Anolis sagrei: one gene and its partner. The protein of the gene in region 2 binds, or shares a complex with, the protein of the main gene of each other region. Links are inferred from orthologs where the notes say so. Each region holds a gene or a part of one and is shown on either strand. Other genes may lie near its edges.

Region 1 (11,908 bases), on a different chromosome or scaffold from region 2:
TTAAAAGCTTCTGCACCAGCTGCAACTGTACCTTGAGCAGCCTGACTTGGCAATGGTGGTCCATTCCTTGCTAACATCCAGTTTTGATTATTGTAACACCCTCCACATGGGGGCTGACTTTGAAGATGGCCCAGAAACTACAACTGGTGCAAAGGTTGGCAGCCATGATTCTAACTGGAAGCAATTAGGGGAGCGCACAGGCTTTAAGATCTGCTAAAGAGGCCCTCCTCTCACTTCCACCACAGGCATGGCTGGTGGGGTCAAGGGAGAGATCCTTCTCAGTGGTGGCCCCTCGAATAGGAAACACCTTCCCCAGGGAGATAAGGCAAGTCACCACACTGCCCTCTTTTCACAGCGATCTGAAAACTTGGATGTTCCAGCAAGCATTTGAGAAAGACTACTCCCTATTACAAATGCCCAGTCTATAGGTCACCAGATAGTACTCTGTTCTCTGGACCTCATCCAATTCCCCAGCCCTAGGGAATACAATTTTGAACTATCCCATGCCCGACCCTTTTATAGCCCGGTCATGCCCACTTTAGTAATTCTGGTCATTGGTTTTTGTTGAACATTGTCTGATGGAGCTTCAATGCTGCTGTTTTTTATTTAATTGTGTTTTATCTGGTTGTATTTTACAATGTCCCTATTTTAGAGGTGTTCTTGTTTTAATGGATTGCTTTGGTTTTTGTCTGTTGGACATTCTGTCCCATATGTAAGCCACCCCAAGTCCCTTCAGGAAGATGGTGGTGGGGTATAAGAAAAAATTGTTGTTGCTGTTGTTGTTGTTACCCTGTTGATGTACCCTGTTGCTGAAGTTGATACTAGATGGGCTCTACAAGAAAAAGAAACAGGAGAGTGGACATGAAGCACACGCTGGAAGAGCAAACAGGACAGTTACTTAAATTATAGGTTGAGTCTCCCTTATCAGGAAATTGAAAATTCTCCAAATACTGAATACCACAACTGCCAATTTCCTCTTTTGAAAATAGGGTGCTAGTCACATATCCAAACCCCACTGAGTTTTTTTCCTTGAAGGGGAATGAGAAGAGGTTAAAAGACTCAATTTGCACAAAAGCCAACAGCCCAGACGCTTTGTTTACCTTCTACTTGGCTATTGGTGGTGCAAAGCAGGGCAGGCACTTTAGAACCAGTCCGTGAAGGTGATTGTAGATTGCAGCCTTAATAGATTTTGCCTGTCTCCAGCCCAGAAAAACTGAACGAGATTCAATGGGCTTAGGATTTTCTCTTCTTGTTACTTTGTTAAAGTGTGCTGACAGCTGGAAAAGCGTCTGGGACATCTGCTTTTTGAAGGAACCTCATGAAAGCAGCATTTCCCCCTATCCACCCCACTCTTCTCTTTCCCCTGTCCACTTTCTGACAGTGGTGGAGTGGGGGCTCCTTGAAGTGAGTCTCAGTGAGCACTAGAAATGTTATAACCCTGCTTCCCCCAAACTTCATTCACCATATGTATCCAAATACAGGTGTTACAAAAAATGGAAATCTAATTTTATTATGATGCAGAGGAGTGAATAGTAACTTTATAAGAGTAACTAGAACCTGAACATCCCCATTCAACTCAGATTAATCAAAAACCACCCAGCACCCAATTTTAGTGGCTGCACACAGATATGACTCAAATGAATGACAAGTTGTAGAGATTCCATACCATTTCCAGATGATCATTACTGACTCACCAACAATGTATTCATGTAACAAGTCCAGAGCATATGACAGACTTCTAGAAACATTAATCCACACACCAATTTCTGTCTACAAGAATAATTCACTTTATACCATACAGAGACACTAAAAACATTATATTTTGAACAAAGACCACACTTTCAAACTGGTAAATTGATAATATCAGTAACTTTCAGTTTATTCATATAGATTTCATAAAAGAAGGATAAAAATAAACTGTGATGTCTTCTTTGAAGAAAGGGCATTAAATATGTTTTACAAACTTGAGAATGATTTTCACAAGCATTCAATGGTAACAACTTTACTTTCTCTTGATACCACAAGGCTCTCGGTGTTGGCAACATAAATAGCCCTTGCACACAGACTAAGTTCATCTGACAAGGTTGTTCCAGAGTCAGTTAAATACTTTTTTCCTGTACAGATCTAACTTCATGACAAAATTTCCACCAGGTGTCAGGCTGTCATACTCCAAAAGAAAAAGATATATATCTTAAGATGCCAGCCACACAACACCCCAAAAAGATATACATACATTTAAATTTGATTAACACAGGCCCCAAATATTCAAGAGTCGGATTCCAGTTTTGAAGGGGCAAGGTTAGCTAGATACATAAAGTTGGCAATGAGCAAGAATGCATCTTAGGCGATCATTTCCTGGCAAATTCTCGTTAAAGAGAACCCATGCTACTTTTACTTCACAACTACATCTATTACTTCAGAGTATAAGAGGAAAAGCTGTAACATGTTTCCGTTTCGGAACCAAAACACAAATTTTTGGCTTCTTCCAACCCTTTAAACTAGCTCTGAACTCTTTAAACACCTGCCTCAAACAAGCAAGAGTTCTTTCTCTCACCCTGGATATTCCACAGATATATAAACCCCACTTTCCTAGTTTCCAACAGACCTCACAACCTCTGAGGATGCCTGACATAGATGCAGGTGAAATGCCAGGAGAGAATGGCTCTGGAAATGGCCATACAGCCTGTAAAACTCACAGCAACCCAGTCTTTAAATTTAGTTTGCCAAAGTATCACAAAACTGGTTGTAGAGCTAATATGACCAGGAGAAGCAAGGTGCATCTCAGGACACAAGGACCGGGGGGGGGGGGGGGGGGAATGAAGGTGTTTAAAAATTGGGGAGAGGAATGAAAACAATAGAGAAGAATATTCTGTGAAGCAGCCTCCACAGACTTGACACACAAAACACCCTGAGACATTTGCCAATTTGCAACCAACCACAATTCAAAGTGCTGGCTTTAGCATTTAGGATTTCTGGGAATTGAAGGCCAAAACATCTGGGGACTCACAAGTTAAGCACCACTGCCCTAAACAGTTCTGGCCCAGCTTACCTATCCGAACATATCTCACCCTATGAACCAACCCGGATGCTAAGATCTTCTGGGGAAGCCCAGCTCTCGGTCCCAACTCCTTTGCAGGTGTGGCTGGTGAGGGCGAGAGACAGGGCCTTGTCAGTGGTGGTCCTGTGGAACTCCCTCCCCAGTGAAATTAGATTAGCTCCCTCCAGCCTGTCCTGGCTATAGGATCAAGCATTTGGAGAGTAGTACAGTGCAATAGGCAGCTAGGAAGTGCAATAGGCAGCTATGGATTATGTTCTGGGTCTTTTGTGTTATGGTTTTGAGTTCATTTAATGTATTGATACATTATGGTTTTTATTGATTTTAATGTATAATGCATATTGTGTTTGCATGTTTATATTTATTGTGCCACTGCATTATTTCCAGGTGTTTTGGACTACAACTCCCACCATTCCTACTTGACAAACTTGAGCCCTCCCTCTGGGTATTTTGGACTTCAGCTCCCACCATTCCTAATGGGCAAACTTGGGCCCTCCCTCCAGATGTTTTGGACTGCAACTCCCACCATTCCTAATGGGCAAACCTGAGTCCTCCCTCCTGATGTTTTGGACTTCAGCTCCCACTATTCCTAATGGGCAAACTTGAGCCCTCCCTCTGGGTATTTTGGACTTCAACTCCCACCATTCCTAATGGGCAAACTTGGGCCTTCCCTCCAGGTGTTTTGGACTTCAACTCCCACCATTCCTAATGGGCCAACTTGGGCCTTCCCTCCAGGTGTTTTGGACTGCAACTCCCACCACTCCTAATGGGCCAACTTGGGCCCTCCCTCCAGATATTTTGGACTTCAACTCCCACCATTCCAAACAGCCTCAGGCCCTTTCCTTTCCCCCCTCAGCCGCTTAAGCGGCTGAGGGGGGAAAGGAAGGGGCCTGAGGCTGTTCGGAATGGTGGGAGTTGAAGTCCAAAACACCTGGAGGGAGGGCCCAAGTTGGCCCACGCTTGGCGTAGTTGCACCCTGAGAGAAAGGCGACCAAATGCAAGGCGCTGTGATTCCAGCACACACACGCCGCTTGTGTTGTGTGTGTTTTGTCTCTCTCCCTCCCTCTGAATCAAAGGTCACAAGGAAGCCGAGGCGGGAGGACGCGCCCCAGAGCGGCAGGCCTCTCTCTTCCCTGCCAGGCCTCTCTCCGCTTTGAACCTTCCTCCCTCCCTCTTCCCTCCTTCCCTCCCTCCCTCCCTCTCTCTTTCAGACCCGGCGCCTGCCTGGGTTCCGCTCGCTCACCTTCTGGGCGTTGCTCTGCTGCTGCAGCACGTTCTGCTCCACCGTCATGGCTGGAGACGGCGCTGGGCGAAAGGGGGAAGAGCGGGAGCCCGAGGAGGCGGCCGAGGCCTCTGCTGCGGGAGCCAAGCGCAGCCGTGGCGGGAGGAGGAGGACGAGGAGGAGGCAGAGGGCGCTCGCTTAGTGGCGGGTGAAGGCGGCGGCGGCGGCAGCGCCCGCCTCAACCAAACCTGCCCGGTGCTGGCATCTTGCTCGGGCTCCTCCCATCCCTCCCTCAATCCCTCCTCCTCCTTCTTCCTCCGCTTCGGTTTCCTTTTCCTGGCGGCGCCTGGATGAAAGGGTGTCTCCCCCTCCTCTCCCTCCCCGTCTTCCGCCCCCAAACAGGAACACAACACACCCTTTCGCTCCCAGGACGAGGCCAGCCCTTCCTTATTCTTCCCCGGGATCCCCAATTACAGACAGTTCCCGACGACTATTGGCATAGGTTTCCAGAAGTGACAAAGACAAAAACCTGTCTGCCTACCAGTATTTAAATAATTATTATTATTTGAAACACCACAAGATAACTCGAGACAGGGCCTTTTCTGTGGTGCCCCCCCCCCCCCGACTCTGGAACGCCCTCCCAAAAGATCTTAGACAGGCCCCTACACTGGCAGTCTTCAGAAAGAACTTGAAGACTTGGCTGTTCCGATGTGCCTTCTCAGATTAGGAATCTCCAATACCAAGTCCTGGAAGCACTTTAGTAGAACTAAGATTGCTGCACACCGCACATTGCACTTACTTTATAATCCTACATACCTCCTGCCACATCAGCACTTTTAATCTTGTTCCCATTACTCTGGCCCGGCCCAGTTTTATAGTGTCTTGATGTATTGTTTATGTTTGTTGTTATACTGCTTAACTGTTTTTAATTTGCTTTAGGTATTGTATTGTTGTATTGTGTTTTGAGGCCTTGGCCTATGTAAATCGCATCGAGTCCTTCGAGAGATGCTAGCAGGGTACAAATAAAGTTATAATAAAGTCCAGAGCAGACACTCTGCTGGCTGTTGTATTGGATCACACGTGTCAAGGACTGTATTATTATTATTATTATTATTATTATTATTATTAGAAACACCACAAGATGAGTTCACAGCAGACACTCTGCTGGCTGTTGTATTGGATCACACGTCGAAAACTTCCCAAGTGTCTAGGACTGTGTGATGTATCTGCGAATAATGCATGCAGATCCCAGTAAGGTGGCCTTTTGCAGCTGGCAGGTCGTAATTTTGTCAGCACCAATTGTGTTTAAGTGCAGGCCAAGGTCTTTAGGCACTGCACCCAATGTGCCGATCACCACTGGGACCACCTTGACTGCTTGTGCCAGAGTCTTTGCAGTTCGATCTTTAAATCCTCATATTGTGTCAGCTTTTCCTGTTGTTTCTCTTCAATCATGCTGTCACCTCGGATTGCAACCAGGGGCTGCTCAACCCATTACGCAAAGTAAGCATTTGCAGTATAGTTGATTTTGCCCAGAGGCACTCTTGGGGGAAAATAGATGTTGACATATGCAAGTTATAGTTACTGGGATGTATAGTTCACCTACAATCAAAGAGCATTCTGAACTCCACCAATGTTGGAATTGAACCAAATATTGAACCACAGAACTCCCACGACAAACAGAAAACATATATCAGTGATTGGTGGGGGGGGGGGGCAAAATACTATTTGCTTACCGTTGAAAATTACCTAGGGCCGCCTCTGATTGCAACATCAACAATCCATACTTTGTTTTTTTAACACGATCGTGAGGTCAGGAGTATTGTGCTCCAAAACTCTGTCTGAATCCAGAAGTCCCAAAGTAGCTTGACGTTTTCATTTTCTGTAACTTTTTCCAGCTTGTGATCCCACCAGTTCTTTGTTGCAGGCAGATGGTATTTGTGGCACAAGTTCCAATGAATCATCTGAGCAATGGTGTTATGCCTCTGCTTGTAGTCTGTCTGCGCAATCTTCTTGCAGCAGCTCAGGACGTGATCTATTGTTTCATCTGCTTCCTTGCAGAGTCTACATTTGGGATCTGTCGTTGACTTTTCAATTCTGGCTTTGATGGCATTGGTTCTAATGGCTTGTTCTTGGGCTGCCAGAATCAGGCCCTCCGTCTCCTTTTTCAAAGTCCCATTTGTGAGCCACAGCCATGTTTTTTCTTTGTCAATTTGGCTCTCAATTTTTGCCATGAACTGCCCATGGAGAGCCTTCTTTGGCCAGTTTTGTCTTCTGCTCTGGATTGTGTTTTTACGGTATTGACTCTTTGTCTTTTGCACTTTAAGCAGTTTACTACTATTGACTTCGCTCAATGTTGGTTCTTGACTGCCCTTCACATAATTTGGCCATGTATGTTTCTCTTCTTCTACCATTTGTTTCACTTGCAGAAGCCCTCAGCCTCCTGATTTTCTGGGCAGGTAAAGTCTGTCGACATCACTACGCGGGTATAATAAGTAGTAGATGGTAATTAAAAAAAAATTCTGTCCAGATCATCCAGCTCTTCTTACGTCCAGTTCACAATCCCAGCAGTGTATCTAATGACGGGGATGGCCCAGGTGTTGATAGCCTTGATAGTATTTCTGCCATTTAATTTGCTCTTCAAAACCTTTCTGACTCTTTGGACATATTCTTTGCTGACCACATTTTTCACATGCCCATGCTTAATATTGTCCAACTGTAGTATGCCCAGATATTTATAGGCTTCAGGCTGATTACATTTTATGCTTTGTCCATTTGGCATCTCAGTGCCCTTGCTGTGAGTAATTTTCCCTTTCTTTAATGCCACTGTGACACATTTGTCTAGGCTAAACTCCATACCGATGTACTTCATACTGATTATACCAAACTCCATACTGATGATTATTATTATTATGGCAGAATATTGTTATTATTTTGATTCTGGCAGCCCAAGAACAAGTCATTAGAACCAATGCCATCAAAGCCAGAATTGAAAAGTCGACGACAGATCCCAAATGTAGACTCTGCAAGGAAGCAGATGAAACAATAGATCACGTCCTCAGCTGCTGCAAGAAGAACGCACAGACAGACTACAAGCAGAGGCGTAACACTGTTACTCAAATGATTCATTGGAACTTGTGCCACAAATACCATCTGCCTGCGACAAAGAACTGATGGGATCACAAGCCAGAAAAAGTTATAGAAAACGCACATGTCAAGCTACTCTGGGACTTCTGAATTCAGACAGAGTTTTGCAATACAATACTCCTGACCTCATGATTGTGTTAAAAAACAAAATATGGATTGTCGATGTTGCAATCCCATATGTCAGCAGGATTGAAGAGAAAGAACTGGAAAAGCTGACACGATATGTGGATTTAAAGTTCGAATTGCAAAGACTCTGGCACAAGCCAGTCAAGGTGGTCCCAGTGGTGATCGGCACACTGGGTGCAGTGCCTAAAGACCTTGTCCTGCACTTAAACACAATCGGTGCTGACAAGATTACCATCTGCCAGCTGCAAAAGGCCACCTTACTGGGATCTGCATGCATTATTCACCGATACATTACACAGTCCTAGACACTTGGGAAGTGTCCGAAGTAGCCAGCAGAGTGTCTGCTGTGGACTCAACTTGTTGTGTTTCTAATAATAATAATAATAATAATAATAAGGCCAGGATTGAAAAATCAGCTGATGACCCAAAATGCAGACTGTACAAGGAAGCTAATGAAACCATGGATCATATCCTCAGCTGTTGCAAGAAAATCGCACAGCCGGACTACAAAAAGACACAACTCTGTGGCTCAGATGATTCACTGGTACCACCTGCCAGCAATAAAGAATTGGTGGGATCACAAACCCGCAACGGCCGTGGAAAATTAGCATGCAAAAATACTGTGGGACTTTCGAATCCAGACTGACAAAGTTTTGGAACACAATACACCAGACATCACTATTGTGGAAAAGAAAAAACGTTTGGATTATTGATATTGCCATACTGGGTGACAGTCGCATTGAGGAAAAACAACAGGAAAAACTCAGCTGCTATCAAGACCTCAAAATCGAACTGCAAAGGCTCTGGCATAAACCAGTACAGGTGGTCCCAGTGGTCATTGGTGCACTGGGTGCCGTGCCAAAAGATCTCAGCCGGCATTTGGAAACAATAAACATCGACAAAATCACGATCTGTCAACTGCAAAAGGCCAACTTACTTGGATCTGCGCGCATCATTCGAAAATACATCACACAGTCCTAGACGCTTGGGGAGTGTTCGACTTGTGATTTTGTGATACGAAATCCAGCAAATAGATCTCCTTTGCTGTGACATACTATACTTTTGTGTCAATAATAATAATAATACAGTCCTAGACACTTGGGAAGTATCCAACTTGTGGTCCAATACAACAGCCAGCAGAGTGTCTGCTGTGGACTCATCTTGTCTTTCAAATAATAATAATAATAATAATAATAATAATAATAATAATAATAATAAAAAGGTAAAGGTTTTCTCATGACATTAAGTCCAGTTGTGTCCAACTCTGGGGGTTGTTGTTCATTCAAACTACAAGAAAGGAGATTCCATCTGAACATTAGGAAGAACTTCCTGACTGTGAGAGCTGTTCAGCAGTGGAACTCTCTGCCCCGGAGTGTGGTGGAGGCTCCTTCTTTGGAAGCTTTTAAACAGAGGCTGGATGGCCATCTGTCAGGTGTGCTTTGAATGCAATTTTCCTGCTTCTTAGCAGGGGGTTGGACTGGATAGCCCATGAGGTCTCTCCCAACTCTATGATTCTATGATTCTGTCTCCATTTCTAAGCCCTGAATTGTCCATAGACACCTCCAAGGTTATGTGGCCAGCAGGACTGCATGGAGCACCGTTACCTTCCTGCCAGAGTGGTACCTATTGATCTACTCACATTTACATGTTTTCGAATTGCTAGGTTGGCAGAAGCTGGTACTGACAGCAGAAACTCACGCCGCTCCCTGGATTTGAACCTTCAAACCGACCTTTGGGTCAAAAAGTTTAGCAGTTCAGTGGTTTGACCCACTGTGCCACCAGGGGCGCCTAATAATAATAATAATAATAATAATAATAATAATAATCTTTATTTATACCCCGACACCATCTCCCCAAAGGTGACTCGGGGTGGCTAACATGACACCAAGCCCAGAATTATAGTACAACAAAATAAAATAAAATACAAACAGCAAATAATGGCATCAAAATAAAATACAGAAAATAACAGAAAATGAAATAAACAGATGCAAAATAATGTTATGAAGAAATAAAATAAAAGCACAGTGGGCGGGCCAAATGCACAGAATAAGATGGATAAAACCGTGGGTGAGATAAGTAAATGGAGAAGTATGTGTCTGTAGGGGAGCTCAGAAGCGGCAAACCATGGGATTAAAAAAACCCTCTAAAATCAGAACAGTAAATAAAGAGCAACACACAAAAAGGAGAGGGATTCCAGACATGAATCAATCAGGGCCAGCTAACACATCCTAACAAAGGATCCCCCCAGGAAGCAATCAGCCAGGCTTTGAAGCTACAAAACCCCTCAATGCTAATCAAGGTGGCCAATTGCAACATTCACACTCACCTCAAGCAGACAAGAGTTCTTTCTTCCACCCTGGACATTCCACAGATATGTATTGTCCACAACTTTCATGGCCGGAATCACTGTGTTGCTGTAAGTTTTTCGGGCTGTATGGCCATGTTCCAGAAGCATTCTCTTCTGATGTTTCACCTGCATCTACGGCAGGTGTCCACCTGTGTCCCACCCTGGACATTCCACAGATATATAAACCCAATTTTCCTAGTTTCCAACGCCTCACAACCTCTGAGGATGCTTGCCATAGATGCAAGTGAAATGTCAGGACAGAATGCTTCTGGAACATGAGCATACAGCCCAAAAAAACTTACAGCAACCCATTCCACAGATATATAAGCCTCACTTACTAAGTTTCCAACAGACCCCTCAACCTATGAGGATGCCTGCCATAGATGCAGGCGAAACGTCAGGAGAGAATGCTTCTGGAACATGGCCATACAGCCCGGAAAACTCACTGCAACCTACGAAACACTCCTATTGTTTACATTCATAGCTACATCTCAAACCACACTGTGTTGTGCAAGTAGAAGTGTCAATATGCATGCATTTTTGAATTTTCAAATGACTGTAATTCATTGATAGCACTTTGGATTTTGACTATGGTCCCTTCCACATCTGAATATAATCCCACATTATCTGCTTTGAATTGGGATATATGGGAGTGTGAACTCAGGGCCCTTGCAGACAGGCCCTATATCCCAGGATCTGATCCCAGGTTTATCCCAGATTACCATCTGTCAGCTGTAAAAGGCTACCCTACTCAGATCTGCACACATTATTCGCTGATACATCACACAGTCCAAGACACTTGGGAAGTGTCCGACGTGTAATCCAATACAACAGCCAGCAGAGTGATGTTGTTTGCTGTGTACCAAACTTGTTGTGTTTGAAATAATAATAATAATAATAATAATAATAATAATAATGTGCAAACATACAAGTTTTATATGAAACGTCAATAAATTTTATATTTAGACTTGGCTTCCAACTCAAAGCTGTCTCATTATGTATGTAATAAGTTAAAATAAATTCAGCACCCCTTATCTGGAATTCCAAAATTCTCCAAGATGGTCCAAAATAGTTTGGCTGGGATTAGTGACATCTTTGCTTTATGGTGGGTCTATTTTCCATTTTGCAAACTTTGTGTCACACACCAAATTGTTATGAATCTTATGTATAAAACTACCCAGAGCAGTGATGGGCAACCTTTTGAGCTTGGTGTATCAAAATTTGCCAAAAATCCGAGCATAACTTGGGTGGGGTGTCACTTAAAAAATCCCATAATTTTGCAATATTTATAGTTTAAATAACAAAAATGCATAATTGTAATATATAACTGTATTTAATAAACTAAAAACTAATTATTTAACTTACCTGCTTAGTGACTTTTTAGTTCATCAGTTGGTTTCTTTTGTTGGTCTTGATATTATTTAACTTGTGTGGGGTGCCATGAACTATGATAAGTGAACTAACCTGACAATTAGTGACTTTTTTGTTGCTGTATTTCATTGACTAAATCTCAAATTTAAGGTTGGTGTGCTGGCACGGCAGTGCCAGGAGATTTGAATTCCTTTTCTTGCACTGCTAGTTTGCATGAATCTATTTAAGCCATGGATTTTGCAATAAGGTAGCTTCCCTCAGGTTGCAGTTATAGGGCCAACAACTTGCCAATCATGTTAGAATCTTTAGACCCACCCCTTTTCCCAGGGTTTTGGAGGCAAAGTAGAACCTTTGTTCAGTCTCACTGTCTCACTTTCCCACCTACACAAAAGCTTCACTTTTCACAGCTCTGCTGGAGGAGTAAAGGAATTTCCACAGCTTTGCTGGGGGAATACAGCCAGCTTTTGCTGGGGGTTAAAGAAATAGATCCACAGCTCTGCTGGGGAGTAAAGAAATAGTTCCTACAGCCTTCATGGAGAAACTAAAGGACATCTTTCAGCTTGGCAGCTCTACAGGAACCTTGCCTGGTAAGGGACCACTCAGGCTATCCATAAAGCAGCTTGGAGCCTGGAGTAGGGGCCTC
Region 2 (11,914 bases):
CAAATTATAACAACTTTTTTTTAGTTTTTAGTTTTTGTTTTTTTGTTGTGTCAGGAGCGACTTGAGAAACTGCAAGTCGCTTCTGGTGTGAGAGAATTGGCTGTCTGCAAGGACGTTGCCCAGGGGTACCAGGATGTTTTGATGTTTTACCATCCTTTGAGGGAGGCTTCTCTCATGTCCCCGCAATTGGGAGCCGGAGCTGACAGAGGGAGCTCATCCACGCTCTCCCCGGATCCGAACCTATGACCTATCAGTCTTCAGTCCTGCCAGCACAAGGGTTTAAACCACTGCGCCACCGGGGGCTCCATTATAACAACTACTCACACAGTTTAAATAATTAGATAAAACATATAAATCTATTATATAAATACCATCTTAATGCCTATAATTTTAGTCAAATTTTAAGAGTTTTTAAGGATTTATATGTCAAATTGTGTGGAATATATTATGTATGATTTATTCAAGTTGGTTTTTGATTTTTTTATGTATTATTCTTGGCACTGAATGTTTGCCACTGTGTTTTATTTTGTTGTAAGCCGCCCCAAGTCCCCTTGGGATGATTGGACGGGCTATAAATAAAGCATTATTATATACCTACAAAGTAATAAAACTAATCAGTTTAAAAACAATTTAAAATAGTTAAAATAACAATTGTTATATAATGTATCTGCTGCCAACAAGCCAGAGTAAGCTGCCATGTTCTAGTCAAGACTGTAAAACATAATATTCTAATCCTCCTCTCCATAAGCTAAAAATATGTTTTAAGCATTTTTTTTAAGGAGACAAGGGAAAAGGCCATTTTTACTTCTTTAGGGAGGGAGTTCCAGAGGCGGGGGTGATCACAGAGAAGGCCCTATCTCTCGTTCCCACCAACGATGCTTGAGACATAGGTGTGACTGAGAGCAGGGCCTCCTCCGCAGACTGCAGTGGCTGGGTCGGTGTATATACGGAGATAGGGATAGTCAAATGTAATAGTGAAAAATATGTAATGTTTCAAATATGTAATGTTTCAAACGAACCTAGATATGTTTAATTTTCCAGACAGACTTTTTCTTCGTTTTGTGTGATATTCAAATCTATGAAAGGCAGAGTTATTTTTTTGTAAATCTCTGTACACTCCCATGTTGCGGCAGCTCCACTGGCTGTCGGTCTGTTTCTGGGCTAAATACAAAGTGCTTGTCATTACCTTTAAAGCCCTAGATAGTTCAGGCCCAGGCTATTTGACAAATCACATCTTCTCCTGCAAACCAACTCAGACACTGTGGTCAGTGGAGGAGGACCTACTCTCGGTCCCACTCTCGTCTCAACTACAGTTGAAGGGAACGAGAGGGAGGGCCTTCTCCGTAATCAGCCCTCACCTCTGGAACTTCCTCCCTAAAGAAATAAAAATGCTCCCCCTCCCGTCTCTCCTTTAAAAAACAATTAAAAACCCATCTTTGCAGATATGGAGAGGAGGAGAATAAGACGACAGTATTCAGCTAATAGGCCCTGACTGGAAATTGTTGTGGCATGCGAGCTCTGTTGGCTCTGTCAGCCTTGTGAACATCACTGGCCACATTATTTTAAATATTGTAAATCAATTTTGGTGTTTTTACATATTGTGTTTATGTTTATTTCAGATATCATTTAATTGTTAGCTCATGTTATTATTTAATTCTAGGTTGTGTGTTCTAATTTGGTTTTAGATGTTGGTTTATTTTGGGACTTGGGATTTGGTTGGTTGTTTGTTGTATTTGTATCCACTGTTTTATCACGGCATTGAATGTTTGCCTTTGTATCTGCTGGAATCCACTGGGGAGATAGGTAGATAGAGTCAAATACAAATAACGTTTTATTATCATTATTAAAAACGTGTTTAGATTTATTTCTGTTCTGTGTGAAGAAAAGCTCTGCATGGCTCAGGTCCTGCCTATTTATGTGACCACATTCCCGCCCCCTCATGAACCTGTTCAGGCCTTTCAATCAGCTGGGGAGGCCCTCCTCTCGATCCCACCTCCATCACAAACGAGGCTAGTAGGGACAAGGGAGAGGGCCTTTTCAGTAATGGCTCCCTGACTCTGGAATGCCCTCCCCAGGGAGACTAGATAGATACCTACCCTCATGGCATTTTGGAAGGATTTGAAGGCCTGGTTATTTACACTTAGAAGTAAATAAAATAAAATAAAATTAAAAAGTAACTAAAGAAGATGCTCTTTTTTAGTTACTTTTCCTATTAGAGTGGGAGGAAAATAGTTTAAAATAAGACATGGGTTCAGACTCAGAGCGATAAGGTTGTCGTAGAGTTCATGCAGTTAATTGTGCTTTGGAATCATGGAAGCCATAGTTTTACAAGGTCTTTAGCCTTCTCTGCTAAATAATGACCGTGCCTCAAGAAGTCCGACTTGACCATGGGTGGTCCATGCCTTAGTTACCTCAAGATTGGACTACTGTAATGCACTCTACTTGGGGCTGCCCTTGAAAAGGCTAACTTTTATTGAGGGGTGTTAATGTTTACCATCTGTCTTTTTGAGTTGCCTGCAATAACTGTATGAGACAAATATTTTTAAATATGTTTTTTAATTTCTTACTGTAAATGTGTTTTTATAGGTTATTGGTTTATATGTGCATATTGTTTTGTATAGTCTTTGATAAAATGTTGTAAGCCGCTTTGGGTCCTGTTTAGGGAGAAATGTACGATATAAATAACTATTTATTATTCTTATTTGAAGCACAACAAGATTAGTAAACAGCAAACAAGGTAACTATGCTGGCTGTTGTATTGAAGCACATGTTGGACACTTCCCAAATGTCTAGAACTGTGTGATGTATTAACGAATAATTTGTGCAGATCCCAGTAGGGTGGCCTTTTGCAGCAGACAGATGGAACGACTAGACAATGAGTCCAGACAATGTTTTTAACAAGGAAACACTATGAATTTATATTTTATTGATTTGTTTAGTTTTTATTATATGTTATGTTTTTAATTGTATTTATGATATTGTAATGAATTTTGCCCTGTTAACCGCCTTGAGTCGCCTATGGGCTGAGAAAGGTAGTATACAAATACAGTAAATAAATAAACAAATAATTTTATCAGTGCTGACTGTGTTTAAGTGCAGGCCAAGGTCTTTAGGCACTGCACCCAGTGTGCCGATCACCACTGGGACCACCTTGACTGGCTTATGCCAGAGTCTTTGCTGTTCGGTCCTTAAATCCTCGTATCGTGTCAGCTTTTCCAATTGTTTCTCTTCAATCCTGCTGTTGCCTGTGATTGCAACATTGGTGATCTATACTTTGTTTTTTAACACGATCGTAAGGTCAGGAGTAAGATTTATTATTATCATTATCATCATCATCATCATCATTATTATTAAAACAGGCTGTCGGCAGTGATTAGTCAATCTCTATGACATGGATTTACCTCGATTAGGGTAGCAAGCCCTTTTCAGCTCACAGGAACGACTATGTTTTAATCTAAAGTCTATCATTTTTATTAACTAGCTATCCCCTGCCACGCATTGCTGTGGTCCTGTCTGTGCATATTTGTTTTGTGTGTATATATTTTTGTGTATATGCGTATATATGCGTGTCTGCGTATATATATGATTTTCAAATGCGTTGTAATGTATTTTTTTATTTTTTTTTTGCTTTTTAAGTATCTTCTGCTGTGTTTTTCAGTGTTTTTATGAGTGAGGGTCACTCGTTGGCCTGATAGGTGTATTGTGTCCAAATTTGGTGTCAATTCGTCCAGTGGTTTTTGAGTTATGTTAATCCCACAAACGAACATTGCATTTTTATTTATATTGATTTTGGGTTGTTGTGGGTTTTTTTCGGGCTATATGGCCATGGTCTAGATCAGGCGTCCACAAACTTTTTAAAAAGAGGCCCAGGTCACAGTCCCTCAAACTGTTGGAGGGCCGGATTATAATTTGAAAAAAACATGAATGAATTCCTATGCACATTGCACATATCTTATTTGTAGTGCAAAAAACACTTAAAAACAATACAATAATTAAAATGAGGAACAATGTTAATAAATATAAATTAGTATTTCAATGGGAAATGTGGGCCTGTTTTTGGCCGATGAGATAGGATTGATGTTGTTGTTGTGTGCTTTTAAGTAGTTTCAGACTTAGGTTGAACCTGAGCGAGGGCCGGGTAAATGACCTTGGAGGGCCGCCTCCGGCCCCCGGGCCTTAGTTTGAGGACCCCTGGTCTAGAGGCATTCTCTCCTGACGTTTCGCCTGCATCTATGGCAAGCATCCTCAGAGGTAGTGAGGATTGATTTTGTTTACATGTACCAACAGACCCCTCAACCCCTGAGGATGTCTGCTGTAGATGTGGCCATAGCCATATAGCCCAGAAAACTCACAGAAACCCTATCACAACATTGTTTATTTACATTTAATGTTAATGCTTCAAAGAAGGCAGGCTGAATGGCTCTGCCCCCTACATATTTTCACTTCTCCAAATTGGGCCTCTTTGCAAACTGTTTGGACACCCCTGGGAGAAGCTCCCCTGTGAGCCCCCCACCCGGGAGGCCTTCCTCCTGCTCACCTGCCGCGAAGTGCAGCGGGGTGGACTTCCTCCCGGCCATGTCCTTGGCGTTGACGTTGGTGGCATCCACCAGGCGCCGGACCCGGGTCACGTCCCCATTCCGGCAGGCCTCGAGCAGCTCCCGGAAGGCCCCGCTGCCCACGGGCGGAGGGGGCGGCTGCAGAGGCGGCGGCGGAGGGGGAGGAGGCGCGGGCGGGTCGGGGCTCTCCGCGGCGGCCGGGCTGGAGGCCGCCGAAGACGACGACGAGGAGGAGCCCGAGCTGCTGCTGCTGCTTGTGCTGCTGGTGGCGACGCTGCTGGCTCCGGAACCCGGAGGCGCAGGAGGCCCAGAGGCCTCTCCGGCGCTCTCTGGGGAGAAAGGCCTCTCCGCCGGCCCTTCGCGGCCGCCGCTCGCAGTAGCCTCGCCCTCAGGCCCGGAAAGGCTAGGCCGCTGCGGCTGCTGAGGGGAAAGGCTGGGGCTCCTTGGCGGAGAGAGCGGCGGCGGCGGCGCCTGGTGGTGATGCTGCTGCTGCTGAGAGCGACGCGACGACGATGCCGCCGCCATTTCCCAGCTCCTGGGAGCGCTCGGGTCCTGTCACTGCGGCAACGGGGACGGAGCGCCCGCCCTCGCTTCCGCTCCCCGCGACCAATCAGGGTCCGGCCCGCGGGAGGTGACGTCAGACGTCGCGAGGGTGACGCAAGGCAGGGAAGCCCTTCCACAGAGAAGGACTGCTTCCCGTTTGGCCTTTCTCAGGGCCCTGCCACACAGCCATTTCACCCGGAATATCAAGGGAGAACATCCACAATGTCTGCCTTGAACTGCATTATCTGAGCCCGCACTACCAGTTCAATGTTAATTGTATACAACTGTGAGAAAGGGGTCTAAGGAAGGAAGGGCCTGGAAGGGAACTTCAGGAAGGAACTATTCCAGCTGCCATTGTTATTATTATCACCACCACCATCATCATCTGCAAATTACATAGAGAACTTTAGGCCCTTCCACAAAGACATATAATTCAGAATATCAAGGCAGAAAATCCACAATATCTGCTTGAACTGGGTTATCTAAATCCACACTGCCAGGCCCGTAGCCAGGATTTCGATTGGGGGGGGGGGGGGTGAGGTTTTTTCAGGGGGGGGGCTGAGTTTCAGGGGGGGGGTGCTGACTCTGAGTGAAAGAGGGTCTAGCCTAGCAAACCTTTTGTATCATTGCCCCAATTCCCCCATGCATATGGGATATATTGAGTATGGTGATCAGATCCTGATAGGAATAAACATAACAGTTGAAATAATGCACCAGTAAGGCCTTTTCACGAACCACCATGAGAATTTCGGGGGGGGGAGGGGCTGAAGCCCCTCAAGCCCCCCCCCCCTACCTGCCTGCACACTGCCATTTAATCCAGTTCAATGTGGATTTTCTATAGCTTTGTGGAATGGCCCTAAGGAACCAAGGGACCTGGAAGGGAATTTAAGTGAGGAGCCACTCCAGCTATCATTATTATTATTATTATCACCACCATCCAACGACCTAAATCTAGAAATAGTTTTCTAAGATCTACAGAGACACTCGCTGGAACACCTCAGCAAGCGAGAGTTAAAAAGTGGCAGGCTCAAACCCAGAACCTTAACCAATAGCTGATACCTGAGAGACTCCCCCCTGGGCACACAGAGGACTGGGCGACTTGGAAGGCGCTGAACAGACTGCGCTCTGGCACCACAAGATGCAGAGCCAACCTCAAGAAATGGGGCCACAGAGTGGAATCCACGACATGCGAGTGTGGAGAGGAGCAAACCACTGACCACCTGCTGCAATGCAACCTGAGCCCCGCCACATGCACCATGGAGGACCTTCTTGCAGCAACACCAGAAGCACTCCAAGTGGCCAGATACTGGTCAAAGGACATTTAATCAACTACCAAGCTTGCAAATTTTGTGTTTTGTATGTTTGCTTGTTTTGTTCTGTTAGAAATGTAATACAATTGACTGGTTGCCCTGACACGAGAAATAAATAAATAAATCACCACCATCATCTGCAAATTACTTAGAGAACTTTAAGACCTCATCTACCCTACCATATAAGTCTGGGGCTGGATCTACACTGCCATGTTATATGATTTTGAAGCTATTGTAGACAATTTCTAAAGTGTCACGTACAATTTGTTTAATTTTCAGAATTCCTTTTCAATCTGCTCTAATCAACATATTCATTTGAAAAGGTCAGAGGGAAAAACATTCCAGAAAAAGTCTAAGGCTGGATCTACACTGCCATATAATCCGGATTTTCAAAGCAGATCATATTATCTGCTTTGTACTGGATTGTATGAGTCTACACTGCCACATGCTCCAGTTCAAAGCAGATAACCTGGATTTTATATGGCTGAGTAGAAGGGGCCTGAAACTGCATTATTATTATTACTATTATTACTATTATTATTATTATTATTATTATTATTATTATTATTATTTTACTGACACAAAAGCACAGTATGTCACAGCAAATGAGATCTATATGCCGGATTTCGTATCGCAAAATCACAAGTCAAACACTTCCCAAGCGTCTAGGACTGTGTGATGTATTTTCGAATGATATGTGCAGATCCAAGTACGGCGGCCTTTTGCAGTTGACAGATTGTGATTTTGTCAATGTTTATTGTTTCCAAATGCCAGCTGAGATTTTTTGGCACGGCACCCAGTGTGCCAATGACCACTGGGACCACCTGTATTGGTTTATGCCACAGCCTTTGCAGTTCGATTTTGAGGTCCTGATAACGGCTGAGTTTTTCCTGTTGTTTTTCCTCAATGCGGCTGTCACCTGGAATTGCGACATCAATAATCCAAACTTTTTTCTTTTCCACAATCATGATGTCTGATGTATTGTGTTCCAAAACTTTGTCAGTCTTGATTCGAAAGTCCCACAATATTTTTGCGTGTTCATTTTCCACTACCTTTGCAGGCTTATGATCCCACCAATTCTTTATTGCTGATAGGTGGTGCTTTTGACATAAGTTCCAGTGAATCATTTGGGCCACGAAGTTGTGTCTTTGTTTGTAGTCTGTCTGCGTGATTTTCTTGCAACAGCTGAGGATATGATCCATGGTTTTATCAGCTTCTTTGCACAGTCTGCATTTTGGGTCATCAGCTGATTTTTCAATCCTGGCCTTAATTGCATTTGTTCTGATGGCTTGCTCCTGGGCTGCAAGAATCAGGCAGAATTATTATTATTATTATTATTATTATTATTATTATTATCATTATTGGGTTGCTGTGAGTTTTTCGGGTTGTACTGCCAGGTTCCAGAAGCATTCTCTCCTGCCGTTTCACCCACATCTATGGCAGGCATCCTCAGAGATTGTGAGGTTTGTTGGAAGCTCGTTTTCTGCTGTTCTGGAGTTGCTGTTCTTAGGACTCAGAACCATCAGTTCAAATGATGGGGGGGGGGATGCCACCTAAATATTAGGAAGAACATCTTGGTGCTAAGAGCTGTTCAACAGTAAAATATGCTGCCTCGAAAAGTGGTGGATGCTCCTTCTTTGTTAGTTTTGTGGCTGGCAGTCCATCTGCCAGGGGGTGCTTTAATTGTGCTTTTCCTGCATGGCAGAAGGGGGTTAGACCAGATGACCCTTACGGTCTTTTCCAACTCTAGGATTCTATACAAATTGTATCCCAGCATTAATTGCTGCACTGTCTGCTCATTCTTCTTTCAAGCCTTGGACTTTGTGTGTGTGTGTCAGGGGCGACTTGAGAAACTGCAAGTCGCTTCTGGTGTGATATAATTGGCAAAGAGAAAATAAGAGAGGCAAAAACTGAGACACTTCTTCTTTCCCTCATAAAAGGACTGCTACCACGTTGATGGGAAGTGGGGAAATCGAGACTCTTTGTTACCAAACTGTGAGCGAGGTGCTTAAAACCTATCTGCAGCACGAAGAAGTCTCGCTTTTTTGAATGCCAAATTGTGTAAGCCTGCTATAGAAGCATAATGCACTTTTTCTTACATTTTGTGGTTTTCTTTCCAGACAGATCTTGTATTCCAGGATATGATCCCAGGTTTTCTGTTTATCCCAATAATAATAATTTATTTATTTATTTATTTATTTATACCTCGCCACATTCTCCCCAAAGGGGACTCGGGACTGCTAACACGAGGCCAAGCCCAAAAATAATACAGCAAAGTTAAACACAAAATAACAGAAAAATTACATCACAACAAAATACATGAAGTAACAAAATAAAATAAACAGTGCAAAACAACATAATAAAAATCAAACACAAAGGGCAGGCCAAATGTGCAAGATAAAATGTTAAAACATTAAAACGTTATCCTAGATTTTCTGGCAATGTGGACTCATACAATCTAATTTAAAACAGAAAACCTGGGATCAGATCCTGGGATACAGGGCCTGTCTGGAAGGACCCCAAGTCACTAAGAACTTTATGTTGTTGGGGGCATCGAATTTTGCCAACTGTAAATTGCCTTGAGTCACCTTTGAGCTGAGAAAGGCGGTATATAAATACAATAAATAAATAAATAAATAAACGTTGAAGACTTTCTAGCCAATTCCAAAAGGGAAGGTGAAACATATTTTTTAATTCTAAAAAATCACATTGAACTTGCTCAAAAGAAAAGAAATTAATAAGAATCTAAATAAAAATATTTAACACAGATTTGTGTTGTTTAGTACTTTGTTCTCCTTAAAGAAGTGATGCAAAAAGTAATGCTTCTTAGAGTAATGTTATGTCTTGCTTTCTTGCCAAACTTTTAATACAATTATCTTCAAATAATGGATCACCTGCAGATCTTTTCTATTGAACAATTCCTTCCAAATCTGCAAAGTATCAAATAACTGTCAGACCATCACAGTGACATTTTCAGTGAACCAACAAGGAGAAAAGATTATGAACCTTTCCCTGCAGTAAAGAATATCAAGAGTTTGATTTACAAGAGGAATTGCTTTCTTACCCCTCACTTAACTCCAATGTGTTTTCCTGACAGTAAATAAGAATTTGAAGCTGTTGTAGACAGTTCCTAAAGTGTCACATACAATTTGTTTAATTTTCAGAATTCCTTTTCAATCTGCCGTAATCAACATATAGACCATATTATTCATTTGAGAAGGTCAGAGGGAAAAAATATTCCAGAAAAAGTAATAAAATATTTGAGCTTTGAGAATATTTCTTATCTCACCTGAGTTTTTGTTATGTTTTGCTTTCTTGATCTTCTCAAACTATCAATGTAATTATCTGTGTCACCTATTTTGCACCGGACAAGCTCTTCCAAAGCTGCAACAACAAAAAGTCACCAAAGCATCAATTTTTAAAGTTATTTTATTTTATTTGATACAGCCCGACAATTAACAAATTTTTGCCATACAAGACTTATCTTAGTATACAGTATTCCAAAAGTAAATATTCCTTAAATGCTAATTTATACATTCCAATAACCCACACATACCCCATTCTAAAGCATCAAATAACACCTCTCAACAAAGGATTCCCCCAGGCAGGAAGCAGTCAGGCTTTGAAGCTGCAAGGGTATTCAATGCTAATCAAGCTGGCCAATTGCAACATTCACACTCGCCTCAAATAGACAATAGTTCTTTCCGCCACCATGGACATTCCACAGATATATAAACCCCACTTGCCTCGTTTTCAAGAGATCTCACAACCTCTGAGGATACCTGTCTTAGATGTGGACAAAACGTCAGAAGAGAATACTTCTGGAACATAGCCATACAGCCCGGAACACTCACAGCAACCCATCAAATAACTATTGAACCATCACAGTGATATCCTCAGTGAGCCAGCAAGGAAAATGGCAAAATATATTTCAGTGCAGTAAAGGATACAATTTCAGGATCTACCTTCACATTGCTGATGTTCCTTGTGACACCGTCACACTTCTCACTTCTTGAATCATTCCAGCAACTGAAATCACATGGAATTGTTTATATCTTTGTTTACTTTTTAAAAAATCTTGTTAAAATGCAGTTCGTTTATTCTTTTTCATGTCACCTGCTTTAAAGTGCTTTAACTTGTAACATCTCCGGTAAACCTGGGAAAAAGTCCACATATGATCAAACAAAAGTTAAACATCATATAAGGGATACATTTCTAAATGGGAAGAATTCATATCCTGGAAAATACTTAGGCTGCTTAAAAGCCATTTCTTCACTTTGTACTCATATATAACCTCTTTGTAAAATTGACGTGTAATTTCCCTTTTTAAAAGAACTGTAAATCAGTTTGATAAGGATATATAAACATGTATATTCTGAAAGTAGTTGGAACAAATTAGTCAGAAAATTGAAGTGTTTCAGTATTTCATGATGACCAGTCTATGCCTTACTTTGCCTGTGTTTCTCACTATAGCAGTAGCATATTCTGAAGAATACTGGAGGAAAGGAATCCGGGAACTTAGGTAAGCACATCATTATTCTCAATCCGTAACGATTGCCACGGTATTTCTTTTGTGTCTCTCTCCACAGTATTTTCTGAGGACTAATCGCTGTGGTTAAGTATTATTTTTCCATACAGAATGCAAACACACTGGTACATAGAGGAAGACATAGAGATGAACTGAAGGTATAAGTGGACCTATATCTTGGGAATTGGTTGTGTTATAATTTTAAAAATTAGCTTCCATACAATAAATCATTTAGTGAAAAGGAAACAAAAAATTGGTCATTGTTACTATCATCCTAGCAAGCTTTAGACCAGGGATCTACAAACTTTTTAAACAGAGGGCCAGGTCACAGGCCCTCAAACTGTTGGAGAGCCGGATTATAATTTGAAAAAAATCATGAATGAATTCCTATGCACATTGCACATATCTTACTTGTAGTGCAAAAAAAAAAAACCCCACTTAAAAACAATACAATAATTAAACTGAAGAACAGTTTTAACAACTATAAACTTATTAGTATTTCAATGGGAAGTGTGGGCCTGCTTTTGGCTGATGAGACAGGATTATTGTTATTGTTGTTGTGTGCTTTCAGGTCGTTTCAGACTTAGGTTGACCCTGAGCAAGGGCAGGTAAATGACCTTGGAGAGCTGTATCCGGCCCCTAGGCCTTAGTTTGAGGACCCCTGCTCTATATCTTCCCTCTAGCCAGTCTGATGGTATTGTTTGAAAGCACAGGGCTGTAAATGCTGTATTGTTTCCAGTAAAAACTCCATTGTAATTCATGCAATAACCTCACAGTGGAGTCATTGTATATGCATTTGTTATATCTTTCCTGCCACCTTGTGTCCAGAATGGTGAATTGTATGGTTAGATTTATCCATAAAAAGAATATACTGGTTTACATATCTCCCATACAAAATGAATAATTTTCAGTTCTTTTTAAAAACAAAACCCTCCTTCAATTATATAAAGAATTTAGTTATACAAAGTGAAAAAACC

The links.
Region 1: the proteins of TNKS (region 2) and USP25 are in contact, whole or in part, in a crystal structure (PDB 5GP7), measured with the Homo sapiens proteins. The link is inferred for Anolis sagrei from reciprocal best matches to the Homo sapiens genes TNKS and USP25. Residues at the interface, in NP_003738.2 of Homo sapiens: Arg836, Ser838, His842, Leu843, Gly846, Tyr847, Leu871, Asn876, Ser879, Tyr880, His882, Asp900, Trp902, Phe904, Glu909, Gln912, Lys913, Gln934, Glu935; in NP_037528.3 of Homo sapiens: Ser1046, Ser1048, Arg1049, Thr1050, Pro1051, Ala1052, Asp1053, Gly1054, Arg1055.

Annotation. Positions count from the first base shown.
Region 1 is NC_090023.1:61,863,627-61,875,534, reverse strand, and holds the start of USP25 (ubiquitin carboxyl-terminal hydrolase 25), read right to left. Parts: upstream 4,573-11,908; 5' UTR 4,347-4,572; coding exon 4,299-4,346; intron 1-4,298. UniProt on the Homo sapiens protein: Deubiquitinating enzyme that hydrolyzes ubiquitin moieties conjugated to substrates and thus, functions in various biological processes including inflammation and immune response.
Region 2 is NC_090022.1:194,922,044-194,933,957, reverse strand, and holds the start of TNKS (poly [ADP-ribose] polymerase tankyrase-1), read right to left. Parts: upstream 5,144-11,914; 5' UTR 5,082-5,143; coding exon 4,538-5,081; intron 1-4,537.